Macaca fascicularis: one gene and its partners. The protein of the gene in region 1 purifies or fractionates together with the protein of each later gene. This does not show direct contact. Links are inferred from orthologs where the notes say so. Each region holds a gene or a part of one and is shown in the gene's direction. Other genes may lie near its edges.

Evidence for each region.
Region 2: the proteins of PTEN (region 1) and CENPC purify together in Homo sapiens (affinity purification with western blotting; 3 studies listed by BioGRID, with this or other methods). This does not show direct contact. The link is inferred for Macaca fascicularis from reciprocal best matches to the Homo sapiens genes PTEN and CENPC.
Region 3: the proteins of PTEN (region 1) and OTUD3 purify together in Homo sapiens (affinity purification with western blotting; 3 studies listed by BioGRID and IntAct, with this or other methods). This does not show direct contact. The link is inferred for Macaca fascicularis from reciprocal best matches to the Homo sapiens genes PTEN and OTUD3.
Region 4: the proteins of PTEN (region 1) and PARK7 purify together in Homo sapiens (affinity purification with western blotting; 4 studies listed by BioGRID, with this or other methods). This does not show direct contact. The link is inferred for Macaca fascicularis from reciprocal best matches to the Homo sapiens genes PTEN and PARK7.
Region 5: the proteins of PTEN (region 1) and USP10 purify together in Homo sapiens (affinity purification with western blotting; 4 studies listed by BioGRID, with this or other methods). This does not show direct contact. The link is inferred for Macaca fascicularis from reciprocal best matches to the Homo sapiens genes PTEN and USP10.

Annotation. Positions count from the first base shown.
Region 1 is NC_088383.1:96,733,565-96,740,121, forward strand, and holds the start of PTEN (phosphatidylinositol 3,4,5-trisphosphate 3-phosphatase and dual-specificity protein phosphatase PTEN), read left to right. Parts: upstream 1-2,277; 5' UTR 2,278-3,122; coding exon 3,123-3,201; intron 3,202-6,557. Other genes in the region: KLLN (killin), read right to left, coding at 608-1,147. UniProt on the Homo sapiens protein: Dual-specificity protein phosphatase, dephosphorylating tyrosine-, serine- and threonine-phosphorylated proteins.
Region 2 is NC_088379.1:66,250,282-66,256,353, forward strand, and holds part of CENPC (centromere protein C), read left to right. Parts: intron 1-3,410; coding exon 3,411-3,702; intron 3,703-5,577; coding exon 5,578-5,724; intron 5,725-6,072. UniProt on the Homo sapiens protein: Component of the CENPA-NAC (nucleosome-associated) complex, a complex that plays a central role in assembly of kinetochore proteins, mitotic progression and chromosome segregation.
Region 3 is NC_088375.1:215,186,851-215,192,922, reverse strand, and holds part of OTUD3 (OTU domain-containing protein 3), read left to right. Parts: intron 1-2,737; coding exon 2,738-2,869; intron 2,870-3,435; coding exon 3,436-3,532; intron 3,533-5,284; coding exon 5,285-5,469; intron 5,470-6,072.
Region 4 is NC_088375.1:226,887,703-226,893,117, reverse strand, and holds the end of PARK7 (Parkinson disease protein 7), read left to right. Parts: intron 1-3,496; coding exon 3,497-3,657; 3' UTR 3,658-3,888; downstream 3,889-5,415. UniProt on the Homo sapiens protein: Multifunctional protein with controversial molecular function which plays an important role in cell protection against oxidative stress and cell death acting as oxidative stress sensor and redox-sensitive chaperone and protease.
Region 5 is NC_088394.1:80,574,524-80,581,322, forward strand, and holds the start of USP10 (ubiquitin carboxyl-terminal hydrolase 10), read left to right. Parts: upstream 1-3,195; 5' UTR 3,196-3,282; coding exon 3,283-3,303; intron 3,304-6,799. UniProt on the Homo sapiens protein: Hydrolase that can remove conjugated ubiquitin from target proteins such as p53/TP53, RPS2/us5, RPS3/us3, RPS10/eS10, BECN1, SNX3 and CFTR.

The DNA of each region.
Region 1 (6,557 bases):
GAACACACATGCAGATTGATTCTCATTCTCTCAAAGTTTGAAAAACAACTCAGTGCTTCAACCTAGGTCTCGTTAGATATTTTTTCACTCAAATTGTGGTCTGGAGTTCTACTTCCTAAGGGAAATGAAAAAACAATAAATTCCCAGACTGGTGTTGATGCTCATTCTCTTTAAGCGGGTCGACTATTTGCTTTGTAGATCCTTGACGGGTGCGGTGCGGGGTAGAAGGAGCGCGATCCAACTCTGCATTTCTGAATTAGCTCTCTCACGGCGACAGGTCTGCCCAGTCGGGGTTGTAAGCGGACTTGACAGGTTTGTTCTGGGCTGACGGCCATTGACGAGGTTCTCAGACCAGATAAGTCACTTGGCTGAGTCTACAGTAGGTGGGGCGCGCTCACCAGCTCAGGGGTAGTGACTGGACGTTTGTTGCAACATCAGAGAATGCAAGCTCTGGGCTGCAGCAGGAGATAACCCGCAAGCACAGAACTAAAAGGGTTCACCCTAAGGGGCAGGGCATCAGCGAGGGAGAGGCCCGAGACCCCTAGCGCCCAGATCCTTTTCCCACGTTTGGGAAGGCGCAGTATAGGTCGATCTAGAGCTAGGAGTCTCAGGTCTCCGTCCTTGGCTTGCTCTTAGGGTAGCAGGCGAGGAATAGGACCAGCTTGGGGACTCTCTCCCCGCGTTCTGTAAGAATCGGCGGCAGCCAGCAGGCGGGGAGGCGGGGGCACGTGTTTGGATGTGGGTGCTTGTGTAACCAGCTCCCCAAGCGCCAGCCCCGACAGCGCTCCTTCGGGAGGCTGGTCCGAGTCCCTGTTTCCGCCGCGGCGCGGGAAGGGCTGGGGTTCTGCAGCCTGCACCAGGCGAGAACACCCCGAGCAAAAGAAGAGTACTTGCCTCCGGAGCTATCACTGGGGAGTGGGAATTTGGAAAGTTCCCCAACTAGGAACACACGTGACCTCCTTCGGAAAGTAGTTCCGACTGTGGCCCGTGTATCCTTCCACCCCCTTTTGAACCCTCCTAGGTCTCCTTGCCCCGCCCACTCGCTGGGCTGCAGCTTCCTACCGTTCCGTACTTTCCACTCAACCTGGTAACCCCGAACGTGCATGGTCTGGCCGGGGCGCGTGGAGCCTGGCCCCGGGCGATCCATCCCGCCGGGTTTTCACGGAGGCCAAGGGGGGGCGGGGCTAGGTGGTCTCTAAGAACCGAGCTTGAGTCCGACGCGGCGAACTGACTTGGAGCCCGAGGGGGAGAGATGCTCTAGTCTCCTAGGGGCACCGGAGCGGGCGCAGGAGAGGGCTGCGGGGTGCGTCCTACTCACGGGGATCCTCTTTCAGTTCATTTAGATAGGTGCCCTTTGGGCTCTGGAAATTCAACGGCGATGTGTTCACGTTCAGCACGCTCGGCTGAGAGCTTTCATTTTTAGGGCAAACAAGCCGAGTTACCGGGGAAGCGAGAGGTGGGGCGCTACAAGGGAGCCGGATGAGGTGATGCACGCTGGAAACACAATAGCAGGTTGCTCTTTGTGCTAAGACTGACATCCTGAGGACACAGGGTTGGGGAAAGGAGGAATCTCTAGGCAAAGGCTGCTACAGTCAAATCTCTGCGAACGACTGTGATCGACAGCGATGCAAAAGAGCGAATGCAGTCCACGCCGCGGAAATCCAGGGGCAGAGGCAGGGGGGAGGGTATTACCCTTGCAAGGACCGTCCCTGCATTTCCCTGTATACTGACCAGCGTGGTCACCTGGTCCTTTCCACCTGTGCACAGGTAACCTGAGACTCGAGTCAGTGACACTGCTCAACGCACCCATCTCAGCTTTCATCATCAGTCCTCCACCCCCGCCCCGCAACAGCCTACCCTGCCTCCGGCTGGGTTTCTGGGCAGAGGCCGAGGCTTAGCTCGTTATCCTCGCCTCGCGCTGCTGCAAAAGCAGCCGCGGCAAGTGCAGTTGCAGGCTGGCGGCTCGGAACCGGCCCGAGCGAGCTCTAGGCAGCCACACTGGGCATGCTCAGTAGAGCCTACGGCTTGGGGGCTTTGCGCTCGCACCCGGAGCTACCGCTTCTGTCCCCGCCTACCGCCCCCTGCCCTGCCCTCCCCTCGCCCGGCACGGTCCAGTCCGCCTCTCGTTCAGCTCCCGCCTCCCCTCGGTCTCCCGAGGAGCCCGGGCTCCCGGCGCGGCGGCGGAGGGGGCGGGCAGGCCGGCGGGCGGTGATGTGGCGGGACTCTTTATGCACTGCGGCAGGATACGCGCTCGGGCGCCGGGACGCGGCTGCGCTCAGTTCTCTCCTCTCGGAAGCTGCAGCCATGATGGAAGTTTGAGAGTTGAGCCGCTGTGAGGCGAGGCCGGGCTCAGGCGAGGGAGATGAGAGACGGCGGCGGCCGCGGCCCGGAGCCCCTCTCAGCGCCTGTGAGCAGCCGCGGGGGCAGCGCCCTCGGGGAGCCGGCCGGCCTGCGGCGGCGGCAGCGGCGGCGTTTCTCGCCTCCTCTTCGTCTTTTCTAACCGTGCAGCCGCTTCCTCGGCTTCTCTTGAAGGGGAAGGTGGAAGCCGTGGGCTCGGGCGGGAGCCGGCTGAGGCGCGGCGGCGGCGGCGGCACCTCCCGCTCCTGGAGCGGGGGGGAGAAGCGGCGGCCGCGGCGGCCGCGGCGGCTGCAGCTCCAGGGAGGGGGTCTGAGTCGCCTGTCACCATTTCCAGGGCTGGGAACGCCGGAGAGTTGGTCTCTCCCCTTCTACTGCCTCCAACACGGCGGCGGCGGCGGCGGCACATCCAGGGACCCGGGCCGGTTTTAAACCTCCCCTCCGCCGCCGCCGCACCCCCCGTGGCCCGGGCTCCGGAGGCCGCCGGAGGAGGCAGCCGTTCCGAGGATTATTCGTCTTCTCCCCATTCCGCTGCCGCTGCTGCCAGGCCTCTGGCTGCTGAGGAGAAGCAGGCCCAGTCGCTGCAACCATCCAGCAGCCGCCGCAGCAGCCATTACCCGGCTGCGGTCCAGAGCCAAGCGGCGGCAGAGCGAGGGGCATCAGCTACCGCCAAGTCCAGAGCCATTTCCATCCTGCAGAAGAAGCCCCGCCACCAGCAGCTTCTGCCATCTCTCTCCTCCTTTTTCTTCAGCCACAGGCTCCCAGACATGACAGCCATCATCAAAGAGATCGTTAGCAGAAACAAAAGGAGATATCAAGAGGATGGATTCGACTTAGACTTGACCTGTATCCATTTCTGCGGCTGCTCCTCTTTGCCTTTCTGTCACTCTCTTAGAACGTGGGAGTAGACGGATGCGAAAATGTCCCTAGTTTGGGCGACTATAACATTTAACCCTGGTCGGGTTGCTAGGTCATATATTTTGTGTTTCTTTTCTTGTATTCAACCTAGGGTGTGTTCGGCTAGACAGAACTCTTGCCTGGTTGCAAGTGTCGAGGCACCGATTGCTTGCTTAGGCTGTCTATACGGTCTCTTCCTGAGGGCTATTGTCCGTTAATACAGAATACAGTATGCTGTTAGTGGATTAGAGAGCTCGGTAATCCGGTCTCCTAAATGAACAAAAAAGTAGACGCTTTGAGGTTGAGCATATTTCGATTAAATCTTGGCTTAGGCCCTAGATCAAGGGTTTAGATCAGAATAAAATGAAAATTAGTGTTGCACGTATGCATATTGCATCAGAATCTTGCAGTGATTGTTTTAGTTTCCTGGGTTGCATTGATAGATTCTTTTAAAATATGACTGATTTGCATAACTTTAGAAGCAGAATAATTTTCAGTATATATGGTGCACATTGAGTGCAAAAAGTAGTTTTGTTAATGTTTTACACTTAAGTTACAACTTTGGACTGTATTTAGAAGTTTTGTAGTTTGAAATCAATAATGCCATAATATACCTTATAAGGCGTTCTTACTAGATCTTTGTTATATTTACCTTTTTCTCTCCCTATGGGATGATGTAGGATAGGGCTTGAAATTTGCACTTCAGTAGCGTTTAATGTTCAGTGCTCTTGTCATAAACATGGAATGGATATTGAGTAGTTTTTGATCCCAGATGACAATGTGTAGGTTCAAGGGTATTGTGTGTGGCAAGTGAAGATTGCAAAGATAAAACTTCAGTTCATGCTTGAAATTTAAGTATTGTGATGCCAGAATTGCTGCTCACCGTTTTTAGATTTCAGGTTCTCTGACATCTTTTGGTACTGTTAATTTCACTGATTTGTGTAGAATGTCAAGTGAATTTTACCAGCTAATATCCAGAAATGCTGGCAAGAGAAGTTTACTCCAGCTTTAGATTGTAGGTATGTTAGCTTTTTTCATACAGTGTATTAAATTTACTGAGTCAGCTTGTTGAATAAGACAGAAGCCCAAGAATTTTAACAGTGTATAGCTTTAGTTGTCTAAAAGTTAGGCCTTCGGGCTTCAAAAGTTAGTGGTCATCGAAAAGCATGAATCTTTGCAGTTTCAGGTACAACAGACTGGTTTTGATTAGGGATGGGGATGGGGCCCTCATTTTGCAGAATGGAAAGTATTGACAGGAATTGAGAGCTATTGGTAGGCCAGTGTATAAGGTATGTGAAAACAGAAGTTATTGGTCTGAAGTGACTGAAGCATTTAGGCTCTATCAAGGCCTAAAATTTGGTAATATGAGTTTGGTAATGCGAATTGTGGCAGTGGACAATATTTAGTTAAAATTATGTAATTGCATAAGTACTAGCAAAGTATTTTTAATAAAAATTATTTCTTAGCAAGTATCAGTTGCATTTTGTCTAAAGGTAGCGTGACACTGCAGTGTCTATATGTCCTGCTAAAAATTGTGGGGAAGATTTTTTTTTAAGACAACGTTTATATCGGGAGAGGTTTTATTCCCTTGGATTATGTTAGCTGCATATACATGTGCACAGTTAATTTTGCCCAAGTTTTTGTTTTGAAATGAATATAAAACTTACTGAAGAAGTAGCCTCCCAAAATTTAGTTTTCTGTTAAGTCAGTAATATTATTTTAAAACAGTATTTGCAAATTTTGAAGTTGGCATTAATTGAAAATGTTACTAAGGCTAAACTGGAAGATAAAAATGTTACTAAGGCTAAACCCGCTTGCCCAGAAGATAATTATGGAAAAAATTCTTTTGTGACTTCCAAAGCAGTCTACTATTAGCATTTGGACTACTATTAGCAGTCATCCAAATATATAGGAACAAAAAATTAAATGTTTATGTAACTTTGAAAAAAAAGCCTCTGAAGAAAATAATTAAATGCTGTCTGGGAGACAGATTTCTTTCAGCACTTAAAGTACATACACACTACTTTTACTTTTCCCACTTTATTTAAAATTGTCAGGGTTATTAAGACCTTAAAATTATTCTACCAGGTTTTTACATGTGAGCTGTGATGTGACTGGCATTTCCTTTGATTTCAGAGTATGTGGGTCTCTACACATGAAATTTATGTGACTTAAAACTTTCTCTAAAATTGTACTTTTAGTTATGCATAGAAAGCAGTATCAAATATTGTGTCAAATGACTAATAACACTTGATTTCTAGAGTTGTGGTTTTATTGAGCCAAAAGTTGGTATGAAAAAAAAGTCAGTGAGGAAAGTCAATGAAGTGCTTGCTTTTTTGATAATTGCACTCCCAATAATTTTGATATTCCAACGTACTTGGTTTGCTTGTTTTTCTGTTTATGGGGGTGGGAAGGCATTAAAATGGTCATTGAGGACTTTGTCTTTGGCATGCTGTAGTATTTATTTCGGCAGCTAACCTGTGAAAAGTTAAATTCCTTTATGAAAGTAGTGATTGGAGTATTTTTATCTGGTAAAGAAAGATTAATAATGAAGCCATTTCTCCGAGGAAAACTGAGGACAATAATTCAGTTTTAAAATATCGCAAAATTAAATTATTCTAAATATTTGTTAGTAGGGTTATATATTAATATTAGTCTGAAATATAGTGCTGAATTTGAGACTATAGAAAAATAGTGTATTTGGGGTATGTGGAAACTTTAGGCTTCTGTTGTATTTTTATTGTTTGGTAGATTTGCCTCTTTTCAAATAAATCTTCACAGGGAATACTTTTAACTACTAGAGAGTACAGTGACTATTGAAGTTACCTAAATTACCTCAAGGTAAGTGATTACTGAAATTAATCATGAGGGTTTTAAAAAATATTCTATTCACAATATTTATTTTACATTGTTTTGTATCTGCTAAGTTATATTTCCTGAAAAACGTGACTGTACCACCTAATTGCTATATGATAACTTACAAACTTCATTTTTCATAGTGCTTATTCAAGAGTAAAGCACAACTGAAAGGAGTAATGTACAGTTTATGTGAGGAAAAAGGAATTTTATTGCTGCCAGTGTAAAAGTTTGCACAGCAGTATAGTCATCAATGCAGATTTACATTGCTTATAATATACTAAGTAAATACTAAATGATTAAAGATAATAAAATATGGTGAGGTATAACCACCTTCATTTTAAACTTAGTTTTAGAAGATAGTAAAGTTCCTTTAGTACCTTTTTAGAATTTTATTTTTAATAACATGGGGAAAGCAACTGGTGATATTTTAATTTTTGTATGAAACA
Region 2 (6,072 bases), on another chromosome or scaffold:
AAAGATTAGTACAACTATGGCATTGTATCTGTGAGGCCTTATTGCTATGAATTATTATTTTTTAATTTTTTTTATTATACTTTAAGTTCTAGGGTACATGTGCATAATGTGCAGGTTTGTTACATATGTATACATGTGCCATGTTGGTGCGCTGCACCCATTAACTCGTCATTTACATTAGGTATATCTCCTAATGCTATCCATCCACTCCCTGCTATGAATTATTAAATCATTGAGTTTCTTGATTGATAGCAGCAAGTATTTATTTTGTTACAGCCTTTGGATTTTGGAGTCAGATCTGAGTTCAAAGTATCACTCTTCCACTTTGAGTAGATTACTTTGTTTAGTTTCTCATTCTGTAACATGATTACCTCATTGAGTTTTTATAAGGTTTAAATGCTATTAGCATAGTAGGTTTGGCATATGTTAGTACTGAAGTGTTAAATAATACTGTTACTGCTTTGAGGAGCTCACTTTTCTGCTCCAGGATGCCTGAAATGCTAAAGAAATTACCAGTGCATCACAACTGTGTCAGATGAGCACATAAATAGATGGGTAAATAAGTTCTTACAGAACTTGGATAAATGTGCTAGATCTCTGAAACTATCAAAAAACACTTATTTAACAGTCCTGAAATAGATGTTGGATTTTTGATCAAACTGGGAGTTGAAAAAGTGGAGGAATCCTTATATATCATATAGTCTAAACTGTCATCTGATGGGAGAAGAAATTGAAGTCTGAAGTTAAGAAGAACAACTTGACTTGCCCCCAGCCTGCGTGTAGTACATGTGACACTGTTCCCTTTCATATATACGAAGAAATGTATGTATATGGAGTACTTGCCATGGGACAGGAATGAGGTAAAGTAGGACCAGGACTAGGGTAAGACAATGAGACACTAGGGTGAAAAATTTAAGGCACTCAGTCACAGGATTGTATTAGTTCGGGTTCTGTACTTGCACAGACCTAAAAATGAGCACCTTCTTGAATTTTCCAGCTGAGGCTACTCTTGTTTCACCATAGTCCTGCCTCTGTCATTAGGCATTGGGAATATACATAGATAAAATACCAGTCAATTACTTGGGGTCAAGGAATTAGTCTGCTGGAGGAGCGGGGTAGAGGTAAGTAAACAGTCGTATGTTGATAGCAAGCTACCTAAGACTTGGAAATTAGGGAAAGCTTCCTGAAGGATGAATTAGGAGTTAGCTAAGTGATTGAGTGGAGTAAGGAGGAAGTTATGGAATATTTTAAGTAGAAGTAGCTTGTGCAGAGATCTGGAGCAGAGAGCTTGATCTTTTTTAAATTTAGCATGCTTTAGAATTGTCTGGGGGCTTATTAAGATACAGGTTACTGGGCCCTGCTCTGAAAAATCTTTGATTCCCTGGGTCTGAGGTGAGTCATGATAATTTGCATTTCAAATTCCCAGATAATGCTGATCTTGCTGGTCTAGAGACTGCCTTTTGACAACCAGTGCTTTAGAGAAACTATAGGTAGTTCAGTACTGATGGCTTTTTTTGGTTTGTTTGTTTGGAGGGGGGTTTTGGGAGATGCAGTTTATGAAATAAGCAAATCTAGATGTAGATATGAATTGATGTTGAAAGTATTTGGACTTTATCCTGAAGCTATACATAATAACTAAAATAATTAAGCAGGGTTGTAATGATCCAGTTTTTGTTTTCCAAAGGTGATTCTTGCAGCAGTGTAAAGAATGGATTGAAAAATAACAAGACTAGAATGGGGGAGATTAGTAAAGAGACTGATATAATCCAGATATGAAATGATGAGGGCTTCTGCTGATGACAGGAGGGAGAGCTTGAAAGATTTGAAAGGCATTAATAAAGTAGAATTGATAGGATTTAGGGCATGATTGTGGATAGGAGTAGTAGTCTTGCATAATTCAAGTTTCTGATTTAGATATCTGGATAGAATAGGTAGTTGTATTTTTCATTAAGATAGGAAATAAAGCAAGAGAGGCAGTTTTAGAGGAGAGCGGTAGGTGGATATTATAGGTATCAGCATATAGATAGTAATTAAAGCTCTGGGTAGATAAGTCCTTCAAGTCCTTCCAGTCATCATACAGCCTAAATAGGTGAGTCTCAAAAATAAGCTAATGTTCATCTTTCATCTGATTCAATGTCCTGAAACCCTTTGGTTTAAATTTGTTAATTCTTCTCATGGCTTTTCTCCTAGAAAACCAACTAATACCACAGCTATTTATTACTGTCAGCTCTAACTTATGTCCACAATCTCACATCCCTTTTGACCACACTTATAGAAATATTACAACAAGTAAACCAAATTTATTCTTCATTATTAATTTTTAAATGTTTTCAGCACAAATCTGGTAACTTGGAGGGCTACAAGTTGATGATTCTCATATGTTTGGGGGTTTAGTCTCAACAGTTTCTTAATGGTTTCTATGTTGTTTTTCTTGATCCAACTAAATATTATTCCCAGATGGAATCAGTTTTTGACCCTCTTGTTCTACTCTCCTAGTCTTGACCCTTCTAAAAGTTTCTTGCTGTGGTTCCTTTCTTTTGTCTGCCACTAATGACTATGCCTGGTTACATAACTCCTGTAACAGGTGTTGACCAATTTGAACACATTTGAGTATGGTATAGAGCTATTCTTATGGTTCATAAAAAGCTTAGTGAGAGCATACCATCTAATGAATAGGGAAATTACGTCTCCCTTAAGGTTTTTCTCAGGACAGGCCTTATACAAGAATTTCAAGGATTGTGAGTGACATAGTTTAACATTGGACTGGGCCTTTAAAATTATCCAGCATGAATTTGAAAACACCTCTGCCACTCTGCTCAGTAGCAGAGTTTTCTGTTTACTTAGTATTTTCCCTATGCTAATTACGGAAATTTTCAACAGTTTTTTTAGGCCAACTTATTTAATACTAGACTAGACAACTTTGTTTTTTTTTTTCTTGCAAGGAAGACTGAAGGTAGGAGTAACTAGGAAGCTTAAATAAACATAATTAAATATAAAATGCTTATAATGATAGAATTGACCTCAGCCAATTAAAATTATTAATAGAAAAAACATGTCAATGTCAAGCCTACTGCCTCTGTTCCCACTTGGGTAATGAAGAAGGTATATGGAGTGAAAAGCTGAAGCTGTCACCTTGGGGAATATCCAATATTAAGGATGGCCAGAAGGGCGGTGGGCAAAGCCAGAGAGTGTTTCTTGAAGCCTGTGACAGATTTGAAGGACCTGTTTCATGTATCTGTAAACTGAAGAGCTACATTGTTTAAAGAATTTAATTTGGAAATTAGCCTATGAGATGTGTGTGTGTGTGTATGTGTATATGTTTATATGCAAATATAAATACTGTTGGTATTTCAGTGAGCCAAATCATCTGGACAAACATACTAACTTTAGGTTATCATTGAATCCTTCAGGTCCTGTTTATAGCAATTCTTCAATAAGAAATGAATTACCAGTGCATCGCAACAGTAGACAAAAATCTGCTAAGAAAACAAATCAGTCATCTAAGAATATTGGAGAAAAAACGATTCCACTTAAAAGGCAGAAGATAGCAACTAAAGGCAACCAAAGAGTACAGAAGTTTTTAAATGCTAAAGGTTCTGGAGGTACCGTTGGTCATGATGAAATTTCCAGTTGTTTGCTGAGTGAGCCATTGGAAAGTGATGAGGAAGACTTGGCTAAGAAGAAAAATCTTGATTGTTCTAGGTAATATCTGTTATGTGTATAATATAGTTACTTTTGTTGTTCAGCATTTAATAATTTGTGCTATTTAATCATTTATAGACAGGCAGTAATTAGCATGAAGAGCTCTATACTCTGACATACCCAGTATTAAATCCAGTCTCTACCATTAGCTGGGTGACACACAGGCAAAGTAGTACTCTGCACTTGTTTCCTGATATTAAAATAGGGAGTAGTACATAGCACCTGGGATTATGACTGTTAAATTTAATAAGATATTGTCGTCGAAGAGTTAAACTTTTTTTTTTTTTTAAAGAGACAGAGTCTTCCTCTGTTGCCTAGGCTGGAGTACAGTGGCATGATCACAGCCCACTGTAACCTCAAACTCCTGGGTCAGGTAATCCTCTAGCCTTAGCTTCCTTTGTAGCTAGGACTATAGGTGTAGACCACCACACCTGGCTAATTTTTTAATTTGTTATAGAAATGAGGTCTTGCTTTGTTGCCTAGGTTTGTCTCGAACTCCTGGTGTGAAGTGAATCTCCTGCCTTGGGCTCCCAAAGTAGAGATTCACAAAACAAACAAACAAAAAACACATAACATAAAATTTACTATCTTTATCTTTTTTAAGTGTATAGTTCAAATTGTTTCCTTTTAAGTGAGATTAATGTGATTTCAATAGTTAGGAATATAGCTTAATACTTTTCTTCTTAGGATGATAATAGTTAACATTTTTTTGAGCTCATACTATGTGCCAAATATTTGCTAGATGCTTTTAATGAATTCTTATTAGTTCCAAAAACCTACTGAGGTAATACATACTTTGTGTTAGAAGCAGTAAGGCGCTGAGGATATACTGAAATAAATGGCAGTGTGTCCTAAAATATATTAGTGTATGTCATTATAGTGCATAAAGAAATCCCATACACCTTCTGTTTCACTTTTTCGGGCCATTCTCTGCTTTTGTCTCTCTTTTTTTTATTATGTTGCTGGAATTTGCTAGTATTTTGTTGAGGGATTCCAATCTGTAGCTTGCTTTCCTTCTGTTGTCTTTGTTTAGTTTTAGTATCATGGTAATACTGGCTTTATACAATGAATTGGGAAGTATTATCTCTCTATTTTTTGAAACAGTTTGTAAATAATTTGTCTTAATTCTTCTTTGGATGTTTGGTAAAATTCAGCAGTGAAGCCACCTGTGCCTGAGCTTTTCTATATGGGTAGTTTGTTTTTGATTACTGATTCATGGTATTTTGAGACTATTTCCTCTTGAATCAATTTTGATAATTTGTGTGTTTCTAGGAGTTTGTCCATTTCATCTAGGTTATCTAATTTGTTGGCATACAGTTGTTCATAGTATTCTCTTGTAATCACTTTTATTTCTTTTGACTCGAATGGTAGTACCCAGGAGGATACTAGAACCTGAAGAAATATACAGTCACTAGGAATAGTGTATCTTGTTTGCATATATTTGGAATAAACTAACTACCAAAGAGATGAGCTGAGTCCCTGTGAGGACCCTATTGCCCCTCAGTAGGCTGACTAGGGATATCAAAGAAGACAGTTTTAGTTGTTTATGGATTCTCCAGTAAAACATCATAGATTAACTGTAATATATATCATAAGCCACTTATACATAGGATCTCCTCATGTGCCTTTCACCACCTTCCTGGGCAGGTGTCTTCTCCATTCCTCTCATCAGAATTTTTCAAATTAGGACTCTTGGTAGGTCCTAGAAACCAATTTCCTTCCTTAGCTAGTTGCAGATGTCAGAGCCTGAACAGGGTGATCTGATATTCATTATAGCCAATATTGTATTGTCTTTGTACCCACCCGTATATTGTTTCTGGAAGAAAATTTTATTTTGAAGAAGTATAAACACTCATACATTTATCGTTTTTATAGATCTACAAGAAGCTCAAAAAAGGAAGATAATGTTATGACTGCACAGCATGTTCCCCTAAAGCCTCAGACCAGTGGATATACATATAACACACCAACAGAATCAAGCTTGGATTCTGGAGAGCGTAAGACTTTAGTTTTAGAGGAAAGGTATGCATGTATTGTAAGGATAATAGTTACGTATATTAGTTACCCATTGCTGTATAACAGATTACCCAAAAACTTTATTTTAATTTTGTTAAAGGCTTAAAAACACTTACTGTTTCATAGTTTCTATGGGTCAGCTATCTGGGAGGCTTAACTAGCTAGTTCTGGCTCGGATATTCTCAGGAAGTAGCAGTCAAGATATCTTTCTGGTTTTAGCGCTTTAAAGTCTTGTCTGGAACTGGAGAATCCACCTATAAAATGTCTCACATCGCTGTTGGCTGGAGGCCCCAGTTCCGTTCTGGCTGTTTTCAGTAGATCTTAGTTTCTTACTGTGTGGCCCTCTCAGCTCCT
Region 3 (6,072 bases), on another chromosome or scaffold:
TTTTCATATTTTTAGTAGAGATAGGGTTTCACCACGTTGGCCAGGCTGGTCTTGAACTCCTGACCTCAAGTGATCTGCTCGCCTTGGTCTCCCAAAGTGCTGGGGTTACAGGTGTGAGCCACTGTGCCCGGCCCTATTGAGTTTTTTAAAATTGGAATCTCATTAAGTTAATAGAGTAATTTAAGGAAAAGCTGACATCTTTCTGATGTTGAGTCTTTTATTATTTAATTGACTTTGTGATCCATCGGAACATTTTCTTCATATAGATCTTGCCCATTTTTTGTTGAGTTTATTCTAAGGAGGTGTTTTGTGCTTTTTGTGTATTGTAAAGAGATCTTTTATATTTTCTAGTGGGTTATCATTTGTCTATGAGAGCTGTTAATTAACAAAATGTTAATTACATACTTAGGTATTCCACAGAACCCCTCTCTTTTTAAAAATTAAAGCAAAATTCCCATAACATAAAATTAATCATTTAAAAACATACAGTCCAGTGGTACTCAGTACATCCCCAGTGTTTGTTGTACCACCATGTCCTCCGTCTAGTCCCAAAATATTTTCATCACCCCAAAAAGAAAACCTTATGCCCATTAAGCAGTGACTCCCAATTCCCCCTGTCCCCTAGCAACCACCAGTTTGCCTTCCTTCTCTGCGAATTTGCCTATTCTGGACATTTTATGTAAATGGAATTATATGTGACTTTTTCTTTGTGGCTTCTTTCCTCAGTATGATGTTTTTGAGAGTCATTCATGGTGTAGCATGTATCAGTACTTCATTCTTTTTTTATGGCTGAATAATATTCCATTATATGGAGAGATGATTTTTTGTACATCTATTCATCTGTTAATGAGCGTTTAGGTTGTTCCCACCTTTTGGCTATAGTGCTGCTGTGCGTATTTGTGTACAGTATTTTTACAAATGCTTATTTTCAGTCTTTTTGTATATACCTCGGAGTGGAATTGCTGGGTCATATGGTAAACGTAAATTGAACTTTTTGAGGAACTGCCAAACTGTTTTCCACAGCAGCTGCACTGTTTTTCTTGCCAGGCTTTGTTTTCTCTTCATCCTAACATTTTAGTTTTTTTCTTAAATGGTCATCCTACTTAGTATCTTAAAGTTTTTGTTTTTTGATACGGAGTCTTGCTCTGTCGCCCAGCCTGGAGTGCAGTGGCGTGATCTCGGCTCACTGCAAGCTCTGCCTCCTGGGTTTACGCCATTCTCCTGCCTCAGCCTCCCGAGTAGCTGGTACTACAGGCACCGGCCACCACGCCCAGCTAATTTTTTGTATTTTTAGTGGAGATGGGGTTTCATCGTGTTAGCCGGGATTTCATCGTGTTAGCCAGGATGGTCTCTATCTCCTTACCTCGTGATCTGCCCACCTCGGCCTCCCAAAGTGCTGGGATTACAGGCGTGAGCCACCGCGCCTGGCCAGTATCTTAAAGTTTGGAATTGCATTTTCTTAATAGCTAATGACATTGAACGTCTTCTCATGTGCTTTTCAGCCATCTGTATATCTTTGGAGAAATGTCTATTCAAGTCTTTTACCTATTTTTTAATTGGTTCTGCCTTTTTGTTTTTGAGTTGTAAGAGTTTTTAATATATGCTAGATGCTAGAGTCTTATCAGGTATATGATTTGCTGTAATTTTTTTGGTTTGCGGTAGTTTTTTTTGTTGATTCTCTTGTTTCAGTTACAGAATTATATCATTTACAAGGACAGATTACTTTTTTCTTTTTAATTTTATACTTATAATTTATTTTAGCTAATGGCTTTGGCTGTTACCTCCAAAATATTGTTAAGTAATAACGGTGGGAGTGATGATTGTGTTTCTTCCTTTGGTGGGAATGAAGACATCATTCTGTGGATTTACAGTGGTTATTTAACCATACCCATACTATAAAGCCTTTCGGTGGTTTTGTTATTCACTAGTATAAGTAACACTGTCAGCCCTTTTACCTAAATCTTTTCTTTTCTTTTCTTTACTTTTTCGAGACAAGGTCTAGCTCTGTTGCCCAGGCTGGAATGCAGTGGCGTGATCTCGGCTCACTGCAGCCTCTACCTCCTGGGCTCAAGCCATCCTCCCACCTCAGCCTCCTGAGTAGCTGGGACTACAGGTGCATGCCACCATGCCCAAAGAATTCTTTGTGTTTTTTTGTAGAGATGGGATGTCACTTTGTTGCCCAGGCTGGTTTTGAACTCCTGAGGTGAAGTGACCCACCCCTATCAGCCCTCCAAAGTGCTGGAATTACAGGTGTGAGCCACTGCACCAGGACCATAAATCTTTTCTCTATTTGATATTATTTCCTTTGGCTAAATTTCAAAACTGAAACTACTGGGTCAAAGACTCCTGTAACTCTTTGTCAAATTCTTAGCGTTTAATTTTATAATAGAATGCTTTGTATTAACATTCCGAGGAATATACTGCATGTTGCTGGAGTCCACTATACTTTTACGTTCAAAAAATAGAGCTGTCTTTGCCCATTTACCTATCTCCCTGCATTAATGGGAAGCAGAAGAAGGTGGTTGAGCATCTACAGAGGGATGATTTTAGCTTTTCTGATGTAAGGCCCAGGCTGTAAAGGTCTCATGGATCCCAAGTGAACTGTTCTTTGTGGCTTTAGGATTTGGATTGACAAGTTTCCCTGGGTGCTTTTCGAGATTAGAGTGTCTTTTGTTGAAGATTGTGAACATAGTTTGATTCTCAACACAGTTCCCTGATTATTATTTGTTTCCTTTAGTTTCAGATGCTTCATCAAGATGAATCAAATAAAAGAGAAAAGATCAAGACAAAGGGAATGGACTCTGAAGACGACCTGAGAGACGAAGTAGAGGATGCTGTCCAGAAAGTTTGTAATGCAACTGGATGTTCAGTTAGTATTTCTGTCATGCAGGAATGATTTAGAAGCAAGTGTTGCTGTGCCTAGCTTACGTGTTGCTGTGCCTAGCTTACGTGTTGCTGTGCCTAGCTTACGTCTTAGTTTCATAGGACCTCTCCAGCATATCAGCACCTTGTGGGGCAAAATAGGCCCATGAGATTTATAGTTCGATTAGCATATGTGGCTTAATGAGAGCTGTTTATTCATTTCCCTGTTGTTTGCTAGACTTCACCCAGTACTGCTCAAAGTTCTCAGGGAGTATGCGGATTTAATTTTTCCTGACTAGTGTTTGCAGTAGTACAAATGCAGTTTTATACAGGGCGTTCATTTATAAATGTACATTAGATGGTTATTTCAAGGGACCAACCTTATTGAAAATTGACATTTTCTAAATGGAAAAGGTCCTGAAACCTTGTCTTAATTCTCACTATTACATCTTTATGTTTATGATTAATTCTCACTATTACATCTTTATGTTTATGATTATTGAAGTAGAGCTAGGCAGAAAAATATACTGAGAGTTTTGAAGTGATTTTTTTGTTTGTTTGTTTCTTGGATAGGATTTTAATTTAATAGTCCAGAATCTGGAAGCTGAAAATTATAATATTGAATCTGCAATAATTGCCATGCTTCAGATGAACCAAGGGAAGAGAAATAGTAAGTCCATGACTGATATTTATAGGCCTTCAAAATGGTTGTGTTGGTAATTTTCCAAATATTTATTTTTAACCAAGTCACAGGTGGTAACTGTTCTGTCATTCATTTAGGAGTTGTTTATTGAGCATGTTCTGTATGCAGACATTTTTTACTAGGTCCTGGCCCTGCTTCAGGGGGAGTGTAGTTCAGGCGTGGAGGGTGGATGGTGGAGACAGGTAAACTGGTGTGATAGTACATAATGGGGTGGGAGTACAGGGTGCTGGGGGACGCATCAGGGAAGAATTAACCTGTTTAGAAATAAGATGCCCTTAGAAGACCAAAATGATAACGAGAATTGTTTTCCTGGTGGAAATATTTAGATTTCTATTAACTTGTGATAATTTTGATTTTTTTTTTTTTTTTAAACATGAACCGAGTTTAATTTTGTGACTCAGAGGAAAGAAACGAGATGTAAAGGCCTGGTGTGGTGGCTCACACCTGTAATCCCAGCACTTCGGGAGGCCAAGGCGGGCGGATCACGAGGTCAGGAGTTCGAGACCAGTCTGACGAACATGGTGAAACCCCGTCTCTACTGAAAATACAAAAATTAGCTGGGTGTGGTGGTGGGTGCCTGTAATCCCAGCTACTCAGGAGACTGAGGCAGGAGAATCGCTTGAACCTGGGAGGTGGCGGTTGCAGTGAGCTGAGGTCACACCACTGCACTCCAGCCTGGGCAACAGAGTGAGACTCTGTCTCAAAAAAAAAAAAAAAAAAAAAGAGATGTAACATCTTATTACCTTCTCAAGTCATTTATTTAAAATGGTATCAATAAATACTGATTGCCAGATGTTACATGTCAGATACTGTTTCTGGCATCATAGTTCTCCATGTGATGAGGTATTTTATTATCCACTATGTATTGGCTGTACTTTTAGAAATCTGTAAGTAACTTGGTCTTTGAGACTTTAAACAGCACCCTCCAGTGATCTGTGCTGTTCAGTATAGTGTGTACCTGCCACTTGTGCAATGAGACTGGGGAGCTAACTTTTAAATGTTTAATTTTAATTTAAATGTAAATGGCCACATATAGCTAGTGGCTAATACATTGGACAGCACCACTTTAGAGCCTGTTTGTGTTCTCGGTTTTGGGTGCAAATGGAAGACTTTCCCGTAAAAATTCATGTTAAAACATAATTTATCTAAAAAGCACTCTGCTGTTGGGAAGCTGATCAAAACGCTGGTCAGTGGGTTATTTTAACATTTATCAGGCCGGGCGCGGTGGCTCAAGCCTGTAATCCCAGCACTTTGGGAGGCCGAGACGGGCGGATCACGAGGTCAGGAGATCGAGACCATCCTGGCTAATATGGTGAAACCCAGTCTCTACTAAAAATACAAAAAACTAGCCGGGCGAGGTGGTGGGCGCCTGTAGTCCCAGCTACTCGGGAGGCTGAGGCAGGAGAATGGCGTAAACCCGGGAGGCGGAGCTTGCAGTGAGCTGAGATCCGGCCACTGCACTCCAGCCTGGGCGACAAAGCGAGACTCCGTCTCAAAAAAAAAAAAAAAACAAAAAAAAAACAACACATTTATCTTCCCACTTTTACCAACTTTTTCTTCCTATGTTTCCCACTGTCTTGACATTAGAATTTGTCTCAAGGAAACTTACTTCCCCTGTGGCCAAGTAGGGACCCAGGTAATTTTGGAATCATTAATACAGTAATCACCTGTGTAACTCTCTCAGGTTCTCAGTTTTAATGAAATATCTTTCTTTGGAAGATGCAGAAGAGAATCTTGAGCCCACTGGTCGAGTGCTGAAGCAGTGTGGCCCTTTATGGGAGGAGGGTGGCAGTGGTGCCAGAATCTTTGGAAATCAGGGCTTAAATGAAGGCAGCACCGAAAACAATAAGGCACGGGCCAGCCCAAGTGAAGAAAACAAAGCAAATAAAAACCAGCTCGCAAAGGTATGTAAGATGGGGTTGAAAGGGTAGGTGGTGGGCAGGTGTAATTCTGTGGCAGTGGTGGGAGCTTGAGATAATTTTATTTGTATTTTCCTTCTAATTTATAAGAGTAGTGTGGGCTGGGCGCGGTGGCTCACGTCTGTAATCCCAGCACTTTGGGAGGCCGAGACGGGCGGATCACGAGGTCAGGAGATCGAGACCATCCTGGCTAGCACAGTGAAACCCCGTCTCTACTAAAAAATACAAAAAAATTAGCCGGGCGAGGTGGCGGGCGCCTGTAGTCCCAGCTACTCGGGAGGCTGAGGCAGGAGAATGGCGTGAACCTGGGAGGCGGAGCTTGCAGTGAGCTGAGAGCCGGCCACTGTACTCCAGCCTGGGCGACAGAGCGAGACTCCGTCTCAAAAAAAAAAAAAAAAAAAAAAAAAGAGTAGTGTGGAAAATCTGGGGAATGCATAAAGATACATCAAGAAGCAGAATGACCTCACTTACCCTGTTTGGTGTATGCAGTGACAATTGGAAGGAAATATACTCTGAAATTGTCCTCAGTGTACAAATGAAAAGCCTCCTTTTCCCACCTACCATTACTGTATGTGTGGGCTCTTCCCA
Region 4 (5,415 bases), on another chromosome or scaffold:
AAAAGTGAAGCTCTGAGAGGTCAGACAGCCACCAAATGGCAGACCTGGGATTTGAACCCAGAACTCTGCTCAGGGGTCAACTGACTGTTCTCCAAAGGCCAGGTGGTAAATATTGCAGGCTTTCTGGGACTTCAGCTCTTTGGCAGCTAGTCAACTGTTGCAGCTCCACAATAGCTACAGACAGTCCTAAAAACGCAGGGTGGCTTTGTGCCAGTGAAGCTGCATTTGCAAAAACAGGCAGTAATCTGGCCTCAGCCCTGACTCGTGGTTGCTGACCTGTGTCCTGTGCTCTCCCATTGTCTTTTTTTGAGACGGAGTCTCGCTGTGTCATCCAGGCGCTCACTGTGCTCACTGCAAGCTCCGCCTCCCAGGTTCACGCCATTCTCCTGCCTCAGCCTCCCAAGTAGCTGTGACTACAGGCGCCCGCCACCATGCCTGGCGTATTTTTTGTATTTTAAGTGGAGACGGGGTTTCAGCGTGTTAGCCAGGATGGTCTCCATATCCTGACTTTGTGATCCGCCTGCCTCGGCCTCCCAGAGTGCTGGGATTACAGGCGTGAGCCACCGCGCCCAGCCCCCCAACTTTTTTTTTTTTTTTTTGAGACGGAGTCTTGCTCTCTCACTCAGGCTGAAGTGTAGTGGCGCATCTCAGCACACTGCAACCTCTGCCTCCCAGGTTCAAGTGATTCTCCTGTCTCAGCCTCCTGAGTAGCTGTAATTACAGGCACCGGCCACCAGGCCCAGCTAATTTTTTTTTTTTTTTTGTATTTTTTAGTAGAGACGGGGTTTCACCATGTTGGTCAGGCTGGTCTCCAAATCCTGACCTCAGGTGATTCACCTGCCTTGGCCTCTCAGAGTGTTGGAATTACAGGCATGAGCCACCGTGCCCGGCTTCCCATTGCTTTTTCTCTGAAGAGACTTTAAGACTTGGAGTCTAGTTTAAAAAAATAAAGAAATAAAAATCAATGCCTTCTGCTGGTTGGAACGGGAAGTGTAAAATCTGAATTCACTATAGGGTCACAGTTCCACCCTCAAGTTTGCACAGTGCCTTCCTAGCGCTGACAGGATGTGTGTGCTGTCTTCGCCACTAGGTGGATGCAGGTGGCAACCTTAAACCTTTTGCTTTTCCCGATTAAAAGTCCGACAAGAACCGTAGAACCTTTAAGCATATTTAACCAGTTTAAACCCTATTTGCACTGTTTTAGCCACAAAGATACTGTACAGTGAACCATTTACAGTTGTGCCTTGTGTTGTCCCACTCTCAGCTGTGCATCTCACCGTCGCTCTGGAAGACCTAGTCCACCCAGTTTCTAGGTTATCATTTGAAATAGTCTTGGCCTGGTTTAACCATCAGTAAATGAGGCCAGATTATGATAAACCTTTTCCCCTCAAACTAGGGATCCTCTTTTTCTCTACAATAGTTAAATTGGAAATTTTTAATGTACTCTATTCATTTATTTTGGTGGGTGACCTGATTTTTTAAATTTTTTAGATTAGTCAAGCACAGTAGTGAGAAGAGGAGAAAGAGTAGAACAAGGAGTAACTGCCTGTGAACGATCAATTGAGATAACTCACTGCCTTCGATCAGCGGTGGCTTGGTTTCTAATGACAGTAAGACAAGTTCCTGTAGCCATTGTTAATCTCCTTGGAAAAGAAATGAACATTGTGTGGTTTCAAAAGCTCATTAATACAGCAGAAGCACTCTGCTTCTGTTGAAGGGAGGTTTTCGGATGAATTTTTATGTGTGTTCATTGAACAGACGTTTCCTAAGCTCCTCCTTAGTACCTGGCACTGGGAACAGAAGAAGAGAAAGCTGTGCCTTCGGGGTGTTCCCAGGTCTGCACTGAGTTCTAGTGGCCAGAGCCACCCGCCTGCCTGTGTGGCAGGTGCATCAGGATAAAACAGGAGTTCACAGAGGAGCTTTGTCGCTTCCCCTCCGCTAAATCTGTTCTGTGTCCCCACATCACTAAGTGGTGTCACCATCATCCAGTCACCCGGGATAGGCAGCTGGGAGTCATTCTTGAAGCCTCCTCACCTAGGCCTTCATTTCAAACCTCCATTTCCTCTGGATCACTGTCACCAGCTTAGTGCAGGCACCACCAGCTTCTACCCAGACAGCAGGTTCCTTTCCATCTCCCTTCTGGTCCCAGCCCAGTCTCTGTGCGAAGGCCGGACCGCAGAGGGCTCCATGCCCCGTGACATGGAGTTCAGCGTGACCTTCAGGTGCTGGAGAGAGTTGTCAAGGGCTTTCCATGGGGAACTGGCTGTGCCCTGCTTCACACTCTGGAGAGAGAGCTTTTGGGTGCTGGGCATGGGTTGAAGGGGTGCACAGCCAGAAGGGAGAGCTATAATCATGCAGAGATCCTTCCTCTTTAAAGCAGGGGACAGGTGGAGAAAAGAGATCAGTCGAGAATGGTGTTTGGTGCCTTTGACCTCACACTTCAGGGGCGCCTCTTGTGTGCCATGGATATCATTGGCCAGACAGGGACTGATGAAGGCCCAGCCCTTTTAAAGAGTAAACAATAAACAAGGAAATGAAATGTTTATAGATTGTGATAGATTGTGTCAATGCTGGGAGGGCAGTAAATAGGATGCGGTGATAGAGTCAACAGAGGAACGTAATTTGGGGAGGAGGGGGTGGTCACAGATACCCTCTCTGAGGGATTTTTGTTGATGCTGAAACCAAAGGGGCAAGAAACTGGGAACCCAGAGCTGGTCTATGGGTGAAGGGAGCAGCCCTTGAGCTCATCCTGGAGCAGGAGAGAACCTGTTGTATTCAGTAAGGGAAGCTCCAGGTGGGAGAGTGATAGGGATGGGTATAGCGGGAGAGGTTAGGCTCTGTGTGCAGTGGAGAGGCTGGTGACTACCTGCTGTGGAGGGGCAGAGCTCAGGGCATCCATGCTCAAGAATCCCAGTTTTGATGTTATATTTGCCAAGAAATAGCCAACTGGTTGGCACAGGGGTTGCGGGGATGCAGAAGGAAAGTAGTCCTTGAGAGTGAATGTGCTTTCTACCTGCACGCGCACACACACATGCATACCCGCCTCCAGTATGTTGTGCTGTGGTTGTTTTTGAGGCATCAGAGGGTGTGCGTGCCGCCACATGTTGATCAGGGTGGCTTCTGCCTTCAGCATTGCCGCATCCCCTCATCCTTTCCCTGGCACTTCAGAATTGACACTGGAGCTTTGTTGTAAAATAGTGATGTGAGTAACTGTCATTCACTGACATCTCCCCCGACACTTAAAGTCTTAGCAGCTGCATTTAACTTACACATATTTGTTTCATTCTAACAGTGGTTTCTCTCACCCTTTGCTCTGCAGTTTTAAAAATACTCTTGTAGGGGGCTTCTAAGAGCTTGGAGCGCCAAGTAAATGTTTTTGAATGGCTAGCCTGCAGGTTGGGTTTACATGCTGTCATAGTGAATTGAATTGGTAAGTAATCGTCTTTCTCATCACATAGCCCATTAGAATGTCACCTTTTCTGTTTCTACTTTGCAGGTCATTACACCTACTCTGAGAATCGTGTGGAAAAGGACGGCCTGATTCTTACAAGCCGGGGGCCTGGGACCAGCTTCGAGTTTGCACTTGCAATTGTTGAAGCCCTGAACGGCAAGGAGGTGGCGGCTCAAGTGAAGGCTCCACTTGTTCTTAAAGACTAGAGCAGCGAACTGTGATGATCACTTAGAGAAACAGGCCATTAGGAATCCATTCTCACTATGTTCGCTCTAAACAAAACAATGGTAGGTTAATGTGTTCAGAAGCGGCTGTCACTACTGCTTTTGCGGAAGTATAGTTGTGAACTCACAACGACACAGAGATTTCTCAGCCTACAAATTGTGTCTATACATTTCTAAGCCTTGTTTGCAGAATAAACAGGGCATTTAGCAAACTACTGATCATTCCTTGTTTTGTCCCTCATTTCTTTTGTGAAATTAAATTCCGTATCACCTTCATTTGTAGCTCTTAACTGTCCCTATAGCACTGAAATAGAAGAACAGTGAACACATTTTACACAGCAAGGAGGAAAGGCATACAAGGAGAATTTTAAGAGGCTTATTATTTTCTCTGCTTATTAGCTGTGTGTTTTTAATGTGCTATTAAAAAATACTTATGAGGGCTGGGTGTGGTGGCTCATGTCTGTAATCCCAGCACTTTGGGAAGCCGAGCCAGGAGGATTGCTTGAGGCCAGGAGTTCAAGACCAGCCTGGGCAACATAGCAAGTCTCCATCTCTACAAAAAAAATACAAAAATTAGCCAGGCATGGTTGAATACACCTGTAGTCCCAGCTACTTAAGAACCTGAGGTGAGAGGATCACTTGAACCCAGGAGATCAAGGCTGCAATGAGCTATGATCACACCACTGAACTCCAGCCTGGGTGACACAGCAAGACCCTGTCTCCAAAAAAACAAAAAGAGAAAAGAAAAAAAAAATTGGTTGTACTGGTGAATTTTTATACACTAGTTCCTTTTTCCATTATGGAAAGAGTCCTTGGATAAAAACTTTTCAAGGTTAGCCCAACATCTCTTTTCCCTTCCCCAGGTAATAGCACCCAGCATTCCTTGTGAACCACTCAGTTCCTCCTGGGTGGGCACATGACCTAGACCCAGCCAGTCAGAGCCCTGTTTTCCACCGGCCATGTGACCCAGGGGAGCTCAGTCAGTCCACAAGACTCCATCTGAGGGTCTCACAGCCGCTGTACTCTGTCTGCTGGAGTGGCCAAGGGGATATGCTGGTAACCCAGAGCACTGGCAGCCGTCTCGTCACTGGCAGCCGTCTCGTCACTGGCTGCCGTCTCGTCACTGGCTGCTTGGGAGGGCCCTCAGGCTGTGGGTGGCTGACCCTGGTCCAGAATGCTGGGCAGATGTTAACTTTTACAATGCAAACACACGTGTAATTGTCTATTTTAGTAAGCGCTTTAACAGATGATAATGCGAAGGGAGAGAAGAGTTACATGGTGGGGAGGGAGGCTTCTGAGGAAGTGACATTTCAGGTGTGGAGCAGGAGCAGAGCTTAGGTTTTCATTCCTTCCCCAGCTGTGTGCTCAGTACCTACTGTGTGCCAACTGCTGTTCCCGGTATTGGGAATATGTCAGGGAGAAACACAGCCTTTGTCCTTGGGGAGCTTATATTGTGGGCACCGGGGAGAGATGAAAGCAAATACTCAAATACCCACATTCTATGAAGAAAATGAAAGAGGGTAAGGAGGCAGTGACAGGGGAATTGCATGATGGGAAGCAAAGGCCTCTCCAAAAAGACATCTCAGTGAGAATCTGAGGACTTTTGGGTGTGAAAGAGACAAGTAGGTATCTGTTCAGAGCGTACCAGGCAGGAGGAGCAGGGAGGGGCGGGTTATTGGAGGTACACAGTAGGAAGTGAAGTTGGAGAGGTAGCCAGGGCCACGGCGAGGTGTCAAGACA
Region 5 (6,799 bases), on another chromosome or scaffold:
ATCCCGCCACTGCACTCCAGCCTGGGTGACAGAGCAAGACTGTCTCAAAAAAACAAAAAACAACCAAACAAAAAAACCAACCAAACAAAAAAACCATACAGACACACACACAAACATTAGATTTAGTGAGACTTACTCACTACCAAGAGAACAGCATGGGGAAAACCACACCAATGATTTGGTTATCTCCACCTGGCCCCACTCTTGACATGTGGGGATTATGACAATTCAAGGTGAGATTTGGGTGGGGACACAGCCAAAGTACATCACCAAGGTCTGCTAAGCACTGTAGGCTATAGTGCTTGTTCATATCTTCCTTTTAACATCTATTTCCTTATACTGAAGATACATGTTAATATCTATGTGAATTATTTGAAAATGAAGACTGTGATCTTTTTTATTTTATTTTTATTTACTTATTTATTTATTTTTTTGAGAAGAAGTCTCGCTTTTGTCTCCCAGGCTGGAGTGCAATGGCATGATCTTGGCTCACTGCAACCTTCGCCTCCCAGGTTCAAGCAATTCTCCTGCCTCGGTCCCCCAAGTAGCTGGGATTACAGGTGCCTGCCACCATGCCCGGCTAATTTTTGTATTTTTAGCAGAGACGGGGTTTCACCATGTTGGCCAGGCTGGTCTCGAACGCTTGAGCTCAGGTGATCCACCCGCCTCCCAAAGTGCTGGGACTATAGGCATGAGCCACCGCGCCCGGCCTGGGATCTTTTGTTTATTATCACTTTTATTTGTTATTCAAGCAACTGTATGATAAAAATCAGACAAACAACTATATATATAGATATATATAAGATATATATATATTTTTATTTATATATATATATTTTTCTTAGAATTTCACTCTTGCCCAGGCTGGAGTGCAATGATGGTATCATCTCGGCTCCCTGCAACCTCTGCCTCCCGGGTTCAAGTGATTCTTCTGCCTCAGCCTCCTGAGTAGCTGGGATTACAAGCACCTGCCACAACGCCTGACTAATTTTTGTAATTTTAGTAGAGACGGGGTTTCACCGTGTTGATGAGGCTGGTCTTGAACTCCTGACCTCAGGCGATCCACCCATCTCAGCCTCCCAAAGTGCTGAGATTACAGGTGTGAGCCACCACCCCCAGCCAGAGAGACAACCATAAATCACCCGTGAGTTTTCACGTCCCCCAGTTTCTATCCATGTGCAGATATCGCTTTTCCATGGTTAAAATCATAGCATAGACACTATATTGTATTGTTTTCCTCAACTTTTTGTTATAAAAATTTTCAAACATAGAGAAAAGCTGAAATATATAGCACTACTTAGAGCCTACAATTGTAAACATTTTGCCATATTTGCTGTCTCTCCCTGAATGTTTATGTGTGTATATGATTTTATCTTTTGTTGAACCATTAAACAATAGTTCACAGGCATTATGGCCTTCACTCCTAAATTATTCAGAATGCATCACCTCACAATAAGGACATTCTCTCAAGGAGTGCAGTATCAATATTACACTATAAAATTACCAATAATTCACAAAGATCACCTATATCCAATCCATATTAAAATGTCTTCAATTGTCAACAAATAAACAGTAAAATCAGCTTAAAAGACGTATCAGGGCCGGGCGCGGTGGCTCAAGCCTGTAATCCCAGCACTTTGGGAGGCCGAGACGGGCGGATCACTAGGTCAGGAGATCGAGACCATCCTGGCTAACACGGTGAAACCCCGTCTCTACTAAAAAATACAAAAAACTAGCCGGGCGAGGTGGCGGGCGCCTGTAGTCCCAGCTACTCAGGAGGCTGAGACAGGAGAATGGCGTGAACCCGGGAGGCGGAGCTTGCAGTGAGCTGAGATCCGGCCACTGCACTCCAGCCTGGGCGACAGAGCGAGACTCCGTCTCAAAAAAAAAAAAAAAAAAAGACATATCAGGATCGAAGCAAGATTGATTGGAACAATCACTACATTGGATCACTACAACCCGCCAATTTCTGTATTTTTAGTACAGATGGGGTTTCATCATATTGGCCAGACTGGTCTCCAACTCTTCACTGTGATCCGCCCGCCTCGGCCTCCCAATGTGTGGGATTCCAGGCGTGAGCCACCGCGCCTGGCCCACTTATATGTTTCATGGCATCCCACTTATGAAGAGATCAGGCTCCCTATTTTATGTAACGTGGGAATGGATCTTCCTGTTAATCTCCTCTGCTTAGCGTAAGGTCTAGCAAGAGCAGACTCTCTGTAGGTGTTTGTTGAACAAATGAAAGCAATGATAGTGGTTATTAGTAACAATCCCAGTAGCCAATTTTTATTGACTGTTCTCTTGGCCAGTGTGCTCACATTAATCTAATTTGAACTTCACAGAAATCTTACGCTTGACGACATATTTGTATTATTCACAGGTGAGGAGACCAGCGCTTAGTGAAGTGAAGTCGCTTGTCTGAAATCACAGCTAGAAAAGGGGCCAAAACCCGAGGGTGGGCCCACTGGCTGGAAAACGGTGCAGTCAGGCAGGGGCGCCTGCTTCTCAATAATGAATGGACCAACGACCCCCAAGGCTGGTTTGCCGTGCACACGCACGCACGTGTGCAACACGTAGCACTTGCTGAGTGCTTGCTACTTGCCAGGCCTCATGTCAAGCACTTTGCGCGTGCTTTTATGCCCTACGTTTTGTTTCTGTTTTCCTTTTTTCCCCTAATGCCTAGCAAAAGGCGTGGCCCAGGCGCCCAGGCAGGACTTGGGGAGTGAATGAAGAGTGAACGAATGAATGAACGGGCGGCAATGGGATCTTCATAAACCTGACCCTCCTCGGAGATCTAATGCGAACACTGCCGAGGCCCGGGCCCAGGGACGCCGAGGGCGGCTCGTGGGCCCCCGGCCGACCAAAGGCCGCGGCTCCCGAGCTCCGGGGGCCCAGGTGCCAGTAGGTGAGGAGCCGGGGCCCGCCGGCGCCTCGGCGTTGCCACCTCCACCTGCCTGCTGCCTCCCCTTCCGGCTTCGCAGGCAGGACCCGGCGGGCTCTTAGAATGCAGCCGCCGGGCATCTTCCGCCCGAGGGTCGCGAGGCTCAGAGTCCGGCCGGTTCCAGGCGGGGCAGGGAAGGTCCGCGGCCCGGCAGACGCACGCCCACCTGTCGGCCGCGCAGGCGCAGCAGCACGCCGGCCTCCCCGCGCCCCGCGGCGCGCGGCCAGTGCGCAGGCGCGGCGGCCGATGCGAGTGTGTATGTGCGGGCGAGAAGATGGCGGCGGCGGGGGAAGCAGCGTGAGCAGCCGGAGGAACGCCGAGTCCCATTGAAACGGGCAGCCATGGCCCTCCACAGCCCGCAGGTAGCCGCCGGTCCGCGCCTTCGGCCGGAAGGGGCCCCAGCCCGGGGCGGGCGGACGCCGCAGCGGGCGGGCGCCCGCGCCCTGCCCGGAGCGAGCGTGTGGGAGTGGGGGAGGGCGCCGGGACACGCTGCCCGGGCCTAGGCCGGAGCCACCCGCCGCCTCCGCGCCCGTCGCGCCTTCGTCCCCCTGAGCCACCCAGGCCCCCTAGTCCCGGAGAGGCAGAGGGACGGGGGCTCCGGTCCCCGCCTGGGGAGGGCGTGGGGGGCGCCGAAGGGGTTAACCTCCCTGGGGCTGGACCGCGGGGCGAGCCCGGGGTGTGGAGTGGGGCCCTCCCCGCCGCGCCGGCCCAGGGAGGCGGCCCGGGGGCTCCGGGAGTCCCCTGGAGCGGCAGGAGCCCCAGAGCAGCTCAGGTTGCTGCCTCTACCCAGAGCGAGCCTCAAAGATTTAGGGGTGCCCTGTTGCCCCTTTGCCCCCAAAGCTTCCTTTTTCAGCTTGATTGATGACGCGGGGGCTGCTGATATTCTGGTTTTTAGATAGAAGTCGCTGAGTAGCGGCGTTAGGCTACTGTTGCAAAGAAAACTCGAAATAAGTCGCAAGGACCGTACTTTCACTTGCATTTGAGTGACATCCCTTGCACGAATCCATCCCAGCCAGGCTGACACTAACGCACCCTGCCTGAACACTATCTAAAGCTTAGGGGCCCTTTACAATAATCCCGTAGTGGAAAGAAAGAGCTCTTTTTGGGAGATGTGCGTGTAGAGTTAAGCTCTTATTCACCTCTCCCACCCCTTCTCCCACCCCATGTCTCCCCTCCGCCATTGTAATTTTTCTGGACAAAAATCGGCGTGATGTTATTATTTGTCAGTCTTGCTTTAGACTGCTAATTTGTTGACATCTGGTCCCTATAAATTGTTGCACACTTTTTAACCATCTCATTGTGTATTTGTATTAAATATGGGGAAATGAAACAAAGTAGCCATTCGGAAAACTGGTGGCGGGTAAAATCATAACCCTTCATAAGCAGTTGGGTTTTGTTGCCGTTCTGCAGATGAAGTCAATCTGACTAGACCTCTTTTGAAACATGATTTTCGTAACTATTGTAATGAATGCGTGTTGTGGAATCTAAAATGCGAAAACTTTTTTAAAAATTAGATGTTACGACAAGCTTCAATTGTGTTAAATTAGCTGTAGTGTAGTTTGCATCAGAACTTCCCCCTTTAACGTTTTGTTCCTTTGTACATTTTTGTAAGTAGTATAGGTCTTTGCACGAAAGAAGGCATCAGCAGTTGAATAGTTTTTACAAATGTATAACACAAAGATTTTAAGAGATTTGGTGTATTTAGCTTTGTTTAGACCTTTCTATTTTAAACAAAAAAAGATTTGATATTTGCTTTTCCTCAACTTAAATACTAATTAGCCTATTTAAATTGGTATGAACAAGTATAAGTCTCATTATGAATTAATGTGTAATATTCCTTGTGATTTTGACATGAAGAAAGCATCTTTAGGCATAACTCACTTCCTTTATTTAATAAGCATCAATCACAATTAAAGGTTGATTGAAATGTTAATTAATGGGGATGGATAATATGTAAACTTAATTGTAAATTCGTTGTCCCAGTATTTACATTTTATACAACAGTCTAAATCGTCGTTATATACATCTTTAGAAAATTGGAGTAGCAAAAGTTGGCGAACAGAAATGTTAGCAACACTTTGGGTTTATTCTTTTAAAGTGTGATTTAAATGCTTTTAAGTTCTAGCATGGAGAAAGTAGCAAAGGAAATAGTTTGATTTCTCATAATTTTCTTTTCTTTTTTTTTTTTGAGATGGAATTTTGCTCTTGTTGCCTAGGCTGGAGTGCAGTGGCGCCATCTTGGCCCACTGCAACCTCTGCCTCCGAGGTTCAAGCGATTCTTCTGCCTCAGCCTACCAAGTAGCTGGGGTTACAGGCGCCCGCCACCACGCCCGGCTAATTTTTTGTATTTTTATTAGAGACGCGTTTCACCATGTTGATCAGGCTGGTCTCAAACTCCTGACCTCAGGTGATCCACCCGCCTCGGCCTCCCGAAGTGCTGGGATTATAGGTGTGAGCCACTGCCCCTGGCCGATTTCTAATAATTTTCAATAAAAAAAATAGTAATGGAAACAAGTAATGGAATCATGTATGACAGGATTTAGTTACTGGTTCCTGCTCGAGTCATTCTGAGCGTTTTAATAAATTTGTTTTATTTGTTTGCCTACTGTTCTAAGAGTCTTGCAGCCTTAATGGCCATTCTTTCATTCAGCAAATACTGATTGTTTATCAGGTGTTAAGCGCCATGATATGCATATTACTTGTTTCTGTTGGGAATAACAACTGCAAATTAAAGGTCTTATTTTAAATTTGACTTGTCCGGGGCGGGGCGCGGTGGCTCACACCTGTAATTCCAGCACTTTGGGAGGCTGAGGCGGGTGAATCACCTGAGTCTGAGCTGGAGACCAGCCTGCCCAACATGGAGAAATCCCGTCTCTACTAAAAATACAAAATTAGCGGGGCATGGTGGCATGTGCCTATAATCCCAGCTACTCGGAGGCTGAGGGAGGAGAATCGCTTGAACCCGGAAGGTGGAGGTTGCAGTGAGCTGAGATCGCGCCATTGCACTGCAGCTTGGGCAACAAGAGCAAAACTCTGTCTCAAAAAAAAAAAATTGACTTGTTAAAGTTAAATTTGTCACTGAGAATAATGGTACGTGGAAAAAGTTACAATTTAAAAATGTTTACAGGTCAGCGCCGTGGCTCGTGCGTGTAATCCCAGCACTTTGGGAGGCCCAGGCGGGTGGATCACTTGAGGTCGGGAGTTTGAGACCAGTCTGACCAACATGATGAAACCCCGTCTCTATGAAAAATACAAAAATTAGCCGAGTGTGGTGAAGCTCGCCTATAGTCCCAGCTACTTGGGAGGCTGGGGCAGGAGAATCACTTGAACCCAGGTGGCGGAGGTTGCAGTGAGCCGAGATCATGCCGCTGCACTCCAACCTGGGTGACAGAGCAAGACTCTGTCTCAAAAAAAAAAAAAAAAGCATGAAACTCCAACTCAAAATAAATAATAAATTAAAAAGTTTTTAGGTTCATAACCCTATTTCCAATTATTAGAAGGTGTTGGTTGATCCCTGTTACCTGTATTGAAGTGTAATAGTGAAGAATTTGGAAACATTTTGAGACCAGTGACTGTCAACATTTTAGCAAATACAGATGAACTTCAGCAGTTGAAGTGTAAGTCCAAGTGAACTCTTTGTCACCAAGGGCACCAATTAAATGATTTGCGGTAATTAATTTGAAGCTGTTAGTTTTGCCTTACACCTGAAAAAATATTTGTGATTATTGATGTCATTTATAGTGAAATCTCCACGATAATGCTTCCTACACCCAATTCGAATGTCATGCAGTTGGGTTCTGTCCTTGTCTGCATAGACTCACCCCAGTCTCTTTTTTTTCTTTTTACCTTGTGATAACA